Sus scrofa: one gene and its partner. The protein of the gene in region 1 purifies or fractionates together with the protein of each later gene. This does not show direct contact. Links are inferred from orthologs where the notes say so. Each region holds a gene or a part of one and is shown on either strand. Other genes may lie near its edges.

Region 1 (4,309 bases):
GCGTTGGTGAAGGCCTCCTGTGGGCTGTAGTCCGGCGTGGTCTGCACGCGGATGATGATCTTGTGCTCCAAGGGGTGCGGGACTTTGTAGCCAGCGAAGAGCACCTGGGGGTCCTTCAGCAGCTGCCTGGGACACGGGACGGGCAGGGGGCAGGGAGGGTGAGCCAGGGCCCCGGGGGCTCGGGCCTCTGCGGCTTCCCAGGCCCTCTACCCAAGGCGTCTTCCTGTTGGGTTGGGGCCTGGGAGCAAAGGCAGCTGCTCTTCAGCTTCAGTTGTTTGGGTCCCCTCTTCAAGTAAAACAGACACACTGAAGAAGATGGACCACATGGGGCCGCCTCTCCCAACACACCTACCTCCACGATGCTCAATGGCCCTCCCTAAGGAACAGGGCTCCCAGCAACCTCCTCTCTCAGGGGACATCAGGGACCCCACAGTGGCCCAGAGAAACCTCCCCAGGCAGTAAAAACCCAGCCAGTGTGCGGGAAGCCAGAACATGGAGCCCCCAAAGGGCCTCCGGTGCAGTGAATACAGGCAGCAGCAGCGGGAGGGGCCCAGGCTCTGAGCGGTCACTGAAGTGGAAAGAGAAGTCCTCCGGGCACTTGAGGTCCTCCTCCCTGAGGCTGTGAGCGAAGCCTGCATCATGTGAGCACATGGGGTTTCTCCAGAGCAGGCCTGTCAACTGTGAGCACTGGGGGGTGAGGATGGCACAGGTGGGAACACTGGGTTCACACTGTGGGACCAGCGGGGCCCCAGGAGAGCTTTGGTGCACCACTGGCTTGGCTCTGGGCCAGAGTCCTCCAGACAGAAGGTGGGCCTCGCCAGCCCCTGCTCATGCCAGGAGGCTGGGTAGGCTCCTGCCCACGGACTCTAACTTGCAAACCTGGGAAAGACACCGCTTCACTGGTAGCCCTTCTCAGCAGCAAAACAGCAAGTCCCTGGGCCAGAGCGGCTATCACACTGCTGGCCACCCACCTGGCCAGGACTTCACCGGTGCAAATAACACCCACCAACCAATATGAGGTACCCACAGGATAGAGCACCTGATGGCCACAACCCCTCTCCCACGCCCTCCCTTATTCTACGCAGCTACAGTCTCTGGCACATCCATCTTAGAATACCATGCATCATCAAGGTCAATGTCACAAACGGTGGCAGGGTGGGTGGCCAACCCTGACTGCTTCCCCACGCTCGCTCGTGAGCACAGCATCCCAACCGGGCCTACTTCGCAACTCACTGCACATTCCCTTCCTTTAGCCAGATAACTGAGCCAACGCAGACACATAGCTACGTGAACAGATAGGGGCCAGTGTCATTTTGAAGAAAAGATACTAGGATGTGAATTCCCAGAGCCAGCACCCAGAAGGACTTCCTGGAGCTTAGAAAGACTTGAGATCATCTGGAACTTTTGCCTGTCCTTCCAAAGAGCCCCGTTAAACACAACCACCAAAAGCCTTTGACTTGGAGCTTACGATTTAATGATATTTCCCAGCGTGTGGTCTTCCTTGTTGATGGTGAACAGACAGGCATTGGGCACCTTGGTGTCCTTGTTGATGGTGATCCTAGGAAGAGGTAAAGGCGACAGGTGGGGGCTGGGGGTTCCCTCCTTCCGGGACTCTAAACCCTGCCCTTCAAGGCAGGCTCAGCCCCACCTCCTCCTCCTCCTCCTCGAAGCCTTTCCCCATCTCTTCATCAGGAAGACCTCTCATTCTCAGAGCAGCAGTGTGGCTATACCTCGAGCCCTGCCACGTCTGGTTCTGTGGGACCCATGCCTACTCTGGATTGCTCCTTCTCCACCTTGGCACCACTGCCATTTTAGGTCAGACAACTCTTGTTTGCAGGGGGCCGTATGACACACTGCGGGATGCTGGCAGAAGCCCGGGCTTCTACCCACTAAATGCCAGGAGCATCCCCTATATGACAATCAAAAACATCTGCAGACTCTGCCAAAGTTCTTTGGGCGGGGGGTGGGGGGCAAAATGGCCCCCAGCTGAGAGCTACTGCCTCGCAAGGGAGAGTGACAGGGATGGCAGGGGCTAGAACACAGAGCCCTGCAAAACAGGTAATTATGAGAAAGAAGAGCCAGTGCTGAGCCCAGGACTAAATACTTCACATAAACTATCTCGTTTAATCTCCTCTTAGAGAATAACCTATGATTTAATACAGTAATAAGCCCTTTTTCTAGATGGGGAAAGTGGGCCTCGGGCAGATTAAATCACCTGCCCAAAACCACAGAGTCCTTAAATAGGGGATCCAGGAGCCAAGCCCAGTCTGCCTGAGCACTGGATTACACTTGGCTTCCTCTGCAAGCAATGAGCAGTCCCTGGAGGTTTTACACCAGCGAATGAAGATCCGGTGTGAGTCTGAGAGCCATCCCTCTGGATGCAACAAAAAGGATGAAGGCGGCGGAGGGGAAGACCAGTGAGGGGGCTACCAGATCCCAGAATACAGACCGGCCACTTTGTTACTTAACCTCTCTGAGCCTTGGTTTCCTCTGCAAAACGGGGAGACTCACCACCGCCTAGGACTGTCTTAAGTTTGGCAGACACAGGTGTGAAGCTCTCGGCCGAGCAGACGCTCGAGCAAAAGTGGCTTCTGTCCCCACGCAACAGAGGACGGGCAGAGACTCCCCAGAACCTGCGTGCGCTGACGGTCCCGCCACCTTCCCCGCCCAGGCCGGTTCCACTTACTTCTTCTCGCCCTCGAAGAGTAAGAACGACTCGAAGGCAGGAGGGGCGTTCATCCTAGCACCGCGGCCACCTCCAAAGAGTCAGCTATCGCCGCCACCACCACCACCGCCTCCCGAAACCTAGAGCCCGACCACTTCCGGGTCAGCGGCTACTTCCGGATTACGCTAGCGGCGCCAAACCCGTGTGGGAACTAGTTCATTGCCCCCTGTCGGTCTGGAGGATCTTGCTCAGGCACGCGAAAAGCCGGCGAGATGAGCTGGTTGTTCTGCGCACGCGTGAATCCGGAGACTCCCCTCCCGGGCTCACCTGGGGGAGCAATTTGGCGCATGCTCAGATCACTAGCGGGTGATTGGTTTTGACACCTCCTTGTCCATTTCAAGCGGAACCCTGAGCTGTTCTTTCCACTCCCGCTGTCCCTTGATCCCTCTTTGGAAATGTGCCCTTGGAGTACACAGCAGGAGGCTTCCGAATGAAGAATGGAGCATTGGGGTGGTAGAGCCTTGGTGGGGTAGGCAGGTGTGGCCACTGGGGAGGTGCAAGAAGCCTCCTCTGGGCTAGACTGTTGTGTATAGATAACCCCCTTGCCAAGGCAGACCGCTACAGGACTCTTGGCTGAGTGGTCACTGGCTTGTCAAGTGGGCTTGTAGCCTAATGAGCTTCTTGTTAGTGGGGGCAGTTGTGGCTGGAGAAGAGGTTGGTATATACAGGTGAGGACAAAGAAAAAATGTTGCCTGTCATTTCAGTAAACAAAGAAGGCTGCCTGCCAGCCACTGCCCTGCCCCTGACTATGAGCCCTGAGGGACATTCGGGACGGAGAAAAACAGGGTGCTGGCCTTAGACAGTTAAGACGCCTATCAGGGAACAATTTCAATGAGCTCGGATTCTTGCATCTCCCCAAAGAAAAAGACTAAAATCATTAACTTGAGAAGTCTGTCTTTCGTGATTAGCAGTAATCTTTCGATGCGTGACTACATGTTTGTTTTTCAGCAAAAACTCCTAAATATCCTGGCTTCTCTCTCATCTCTTTGGAACAGTTCCTCAGAGCTAGCAAAGAGGCTGTCTCCCAGGCTCTGGTCCTCAATAAGGTCCCTGATGAAAGCTAACTCGCAAATTTCAAGTTGTCGTTTTTGTTTTGAGTCAACACAGGTGTGAGAAGAACTTGAAAAGATAAGTGTATGAGTTAGCTTTGGTGGGTTGGTATTTCTACAGTTTCGCCTAAGAGTCCTACCTGAGTGCTTTGAAGCAACAGGGGCTGTGGTTCAGATTAGCTCCTGGAGCCCTACCAGCTTCCCAGTTGTTTCTTTAGGGCTGGGCAACACCCAAGGGGCCCTCAAGGAAATCTGGAGCTTCCCCCACCACTTCCTGGGAAGGGCTAGTTCCTACTTGAGCCTTGAACCCTGGAGTGAGAAAATGTCCTTTGGGGGAGGCCAACACCAACCTAGACTCTCCAGGCCAAGTGGGTGGGGGTGGAGGCTCTTTAACTGGGGAGGAAAAGAGGACAATGACAGTAATGATACCCTGAGGTTATAACCTGCATCCTTCTGAGTCATCCTGGGAAAGTCCACACCAATGATGCTGCCACTGCCAGGATTGCAGGGACCCAGGGTGATGAGGCTGGCTGGA
Region 2 (3,647 bases), about 100 Mb from region 1:
AGTTGTCATGTCTCTTACTTTCCTTTTTTTTTTTTGTCTTTTTGCCATTTTTTTGGGCCGCACTTGCGGCATATGGAGGTTCCCAGGCTAGGGGTCAAATCGGAGCTGTAGCCACTGGCCTACGCCAGAGCCACAGCAGTGTGGGATCCGAGCTGCATCTGCAACCTACACCACAGCTCACGGCAACGCCGGATCCTTAACCCACTGAGCAAGGCCAGTGATCGAACCTGCAACCTCATGGTTCCTAGTCAGATTTGTTAACCACTGCGCCACAACGGGAACTCCTTATTTTCCTTTAATCTAGAACAGCTCCTTAGTGTGTGTTTGTATTTCATGACTAGTATTTTTGGGGTTTTTTGGTTTTGTTTTGTTTTTAGGGCCACACCCGCAGCATATGGATGTTTGCAGGGTAGGGGTCTAATCGGAGCTGCAGCTGCTGGCTTACACCACAGGCACAGCAACTCAGGATCCAAGCTGCTTCTGTGACCTATGCCATGGCTCACGGCAATGCCGGATCCTTAACCTATGCCATGGCTCACGGCAATGCCGGATCCTTAACCCACTGAGTGAGCCAGGGATAGAACCCACCACCTCATGGTTCCTAGTCAGATTTGTTTCCACTGTGCTACGACAGGAACTCCGACATTGGTATTTTTGAAGTGTATGGGACTTATATCTTGTACAAAATGTGACTCAGTTTGGGCTTGATGTTTCCTCATGATTTGATTCAGGTGGCTCCTTTTTAGCAGAACTTTACAGATGTGAAGTTGTGTTTTTTCCGTGTATCATGTCACTAGGCACGGATGAAGATTTGTCTTTGGTCACTTACTTCAAGTGGTGTCTGCTAGGTTTTTCATCATAAAGTTATTTTCTCCTTCATGATAAGTATTTTGTGGGGTGAGGCTTTGATTAATAAAGGCCCTTTGAGTTTTCAAATGTTCACACACCAGTTTTAATATCCCTTATTCTAGGTAGGGATAGTCTCCATTTTTCTGTGATACATGTTGCAGATATTCTCTCCCTGTTTGTCAGTTGCCCTTTGACTCTTTGTTCATGGTGGTGTTTTGCCATGCAACAGTTACTGTTTTGTTTCATTTTGATGTAGTCAAATTTATTTATATTTTATTGCACCTGGTTTTGAGTCATGGTTGAGAATCCTTTGCCTACACCTGTTTAAGAGGCATTCATCCCGATTGTATTATAGTATTTATATGGTTTTATTTATCTACATTTGGATCTTTGTTCCATTTAGAATTTATTGCCGGGTATGGTGTGAGGTCTCTGTTACCTTTTTCATAAAGAGTTGTACCCACATGACTTATTAAAAAGTCTACCTTTGTCCCAGTGAGGAGATGTAACCTGTATCATATACCCAAGTTTCATATGTACTTGGATATATTTCTGAATTACCTATTTTCTTCTTCTAGACCGTGTGCCTATACTATGCTGCTTTAATTATGTAGAAGCTTTATAGTATGTTTTAATATCTAGTAGGGCTAGTCCTCCTCAGAGTTATTTTTAGTATTTCCCTGATTATTCTTGCATGTTTATTTTTCCATATGACCTTTAGTATCAACGTATATGGCTTGCTAAAAAAAGCTCTTTAGTATTTATATTGGGATTGTATTATATTTGCTCATTAATTAAATAGTTGACATCTCTATGATGTTGACTCTTCCTGAGAACAATGAATGTGTTCACATTTGTCAGGTCTATTTTTGTGTCTTTCAGGAGTATTTTCCTCATGTAAGTTTTGTTAAATTTGTTAAATTTACTGGTGTTTTTTATTGTTTGAGTTAGTTTTGTCGTCGATTGCCTAGGGGTTCCTAGGTTCGTGCTCAAATTTAATATATACCCACCTACCCACCCAGTCATTGGTGGACTAGTCTTTAAAGCAGTGAACTTCTGTTCATGACAGCTATTGTTATATGTCTAGTAGAGAATAGCAAAGCCATTTGGAGGAGGAGATGCTGGACCCTGGCTGGGATTACCAGTTAAATGAGCTTGCCTGTGCCATCTTTGTTGCAGTTCTCAGCAACATAAACATCTATGTGCTGTGGCCCTTGGGAATCACTCATGGATACTTGAAATGGCAAATGTTCAATTTGGTGCAAAGGGTCCAATGTACTTGGATAGCCTGTTAAAGGTTAAGGGAGTTTCAGTAAATTGTTTGCAGAAAATCACAGGTAGAGTTGCACAGTTCTTAGTTGGGCGCAGAATGAAGCACTGACTGTCAGCACATGTGTCATCGTCCTTTTTCAAGGCCTCTGGCCCCTTGAGATCTCTGCCTCTTGATGTTGCTGTTATTGGCCACCCTTGTTTCCCAGCTGAGCTTTATGTAACTTTTTACGCTCCTGAAGAGGGAGTGGTCATGACCTCCCATGGCTTTAGGTTACATGGCTTGGTTTTAGGTTCTCATAGAAACCAGTCCCCATGGGCTGCATCCACGGCCCTAGAATTACTTGATTAGACTTTTCCTGATCATTGGAGATCAGCTCTTATTCAGTTTCCCTGAGTAGGGAATTTCTTCAATTAATATATTTGCCTTTCCATTTCCCCCCCTCTTTTGCTTGAATAATACCTTGGCTCCTTTATCATTTCACCTCTATTCTCATCAGACTCTCTCTGAACTTAAATTTCCACCAGGAAGCTCCACACATTTACCTTTGACTCACCAGCACACTAGGTCTGCTCAAATGTCTTCAGCCTTCATAGGAAAAGTCATAGCTCTTCCAAGGTGAGAGCTAGTGAAAACAAATGATATTACTACTACGATAAGCTACTTGAAAGTTATTTTCCTTAACTTAAAAATGAGACCTCTTGGGTTATTGGTCTCATGAAAGCACTTTGTGAAATAAACTAGTGTAGAAATGTTAAGTGGTATTAACAGTACATTTAGAAGAGATAAAATCTTATATTTGATCATGACCACTTTCATCCTGCCAATTTTTTTTTATAAAAGGACATTTTATTTTATTTTTTTGTCTTTTTAGGGCCACATCTGCAGCAAATGGAGGTTCCCAGGCTAGGAGTCGAATTGGAGCCACATCTGCTGGCCTGCATCACAGCCACAGCAATGCTGTATCTGAGCCGAATCTGCCACCTACACCACAGCTGATGGCCACGCTAGGTCCTTCACCCACTGAGTGAGGGGTCGAACCTGCATCCTCATGGTTACTAGTCAGATTTGTTTCTGCTGAGCCATAGCAGGAATTCCCATCCTGCCAATTTTTAATCAGTTACTTACTGATTTAAATCACTCTTTTGAGGAGGCCTATGTCATGGCATGCTACTGATAGGTGTTTTCTCTGTAGGCAGCTCATCTCCTATGCTGGACCCATCTGACTTGATCCTAACTCGTGGAACCTTAGATGAAGAGGATGAGGAAGCTGACAGTGATACTGATGATATTGACCACAGAGGTGAGAGGTGGCTGAGATGGCTCATGAAAACAGAACAGATGCTTCTCCTCATTGTTTGCCTGGGAACTTCTGGTTGTTGCGAGAAGACCTTATCCATGTAGCCAGTAATGCGGGAGAGAGGAAATGGTAAAGGGAACAGCACCAGGCAAGAGTTCCATATATTGAGAGTCCTGGCTTCCTACTGAATGGTTCACATGGAGCTGGATATTGCCTTTAGTCATGTGT

What was found. Proteins that work in one complex are often made in the same cells at the same time.
Region 2: the proteins of POLR2J (region 1) and GPN1 purify together in Homo sapiens (affinity purification with mass spectrometry; 5 studies listed by BioGRID and IntAct, with this or other methods). This does not show direct contact. The link is inferred for Sus scrofa from reciprocal best matches to the Homo sapiens genes POLR2J and GPN1.

Annotation. Positions count from the first base shown.
Region 1 is NC_010445.4:9,813,818-9,818,126, forward strand, and holds the start of POLR2J (DNA-directed RNA polymerase II subunit RPB11-a), read right to left. Parts: upstream 2,841-4,309; 5' UTR 2,740-2,840; coding exon 2,687-2,739; intron 1,559-2,686; coding exon 1,469-1,558; intron 127-1,468; coding exon 1-126. UniProt on the Homo sapiens protein: Core component of RNA polymerase II (Pol II), a DNA-dependent RNA polymerase which synthesizes mRNA precursors and many functional non-coding RNAs using the four ribonucleoside triphosphates as substrates.
Region 2 is NC_010445.4:111,544,486-111,548,132, reverse strand, and holds part of GPN1 (GPN-loop GTPase 1), read left to right. Parts: intron 1-3,314; coding exon 3,315-3,422; intron 3,423-3,647. UniProt on the Homo sapiens protein: Small GTPase required for proper nuclear import of RNA polymerase II (RNAPII). May act at an RNAP assembly step prior to nuclear import.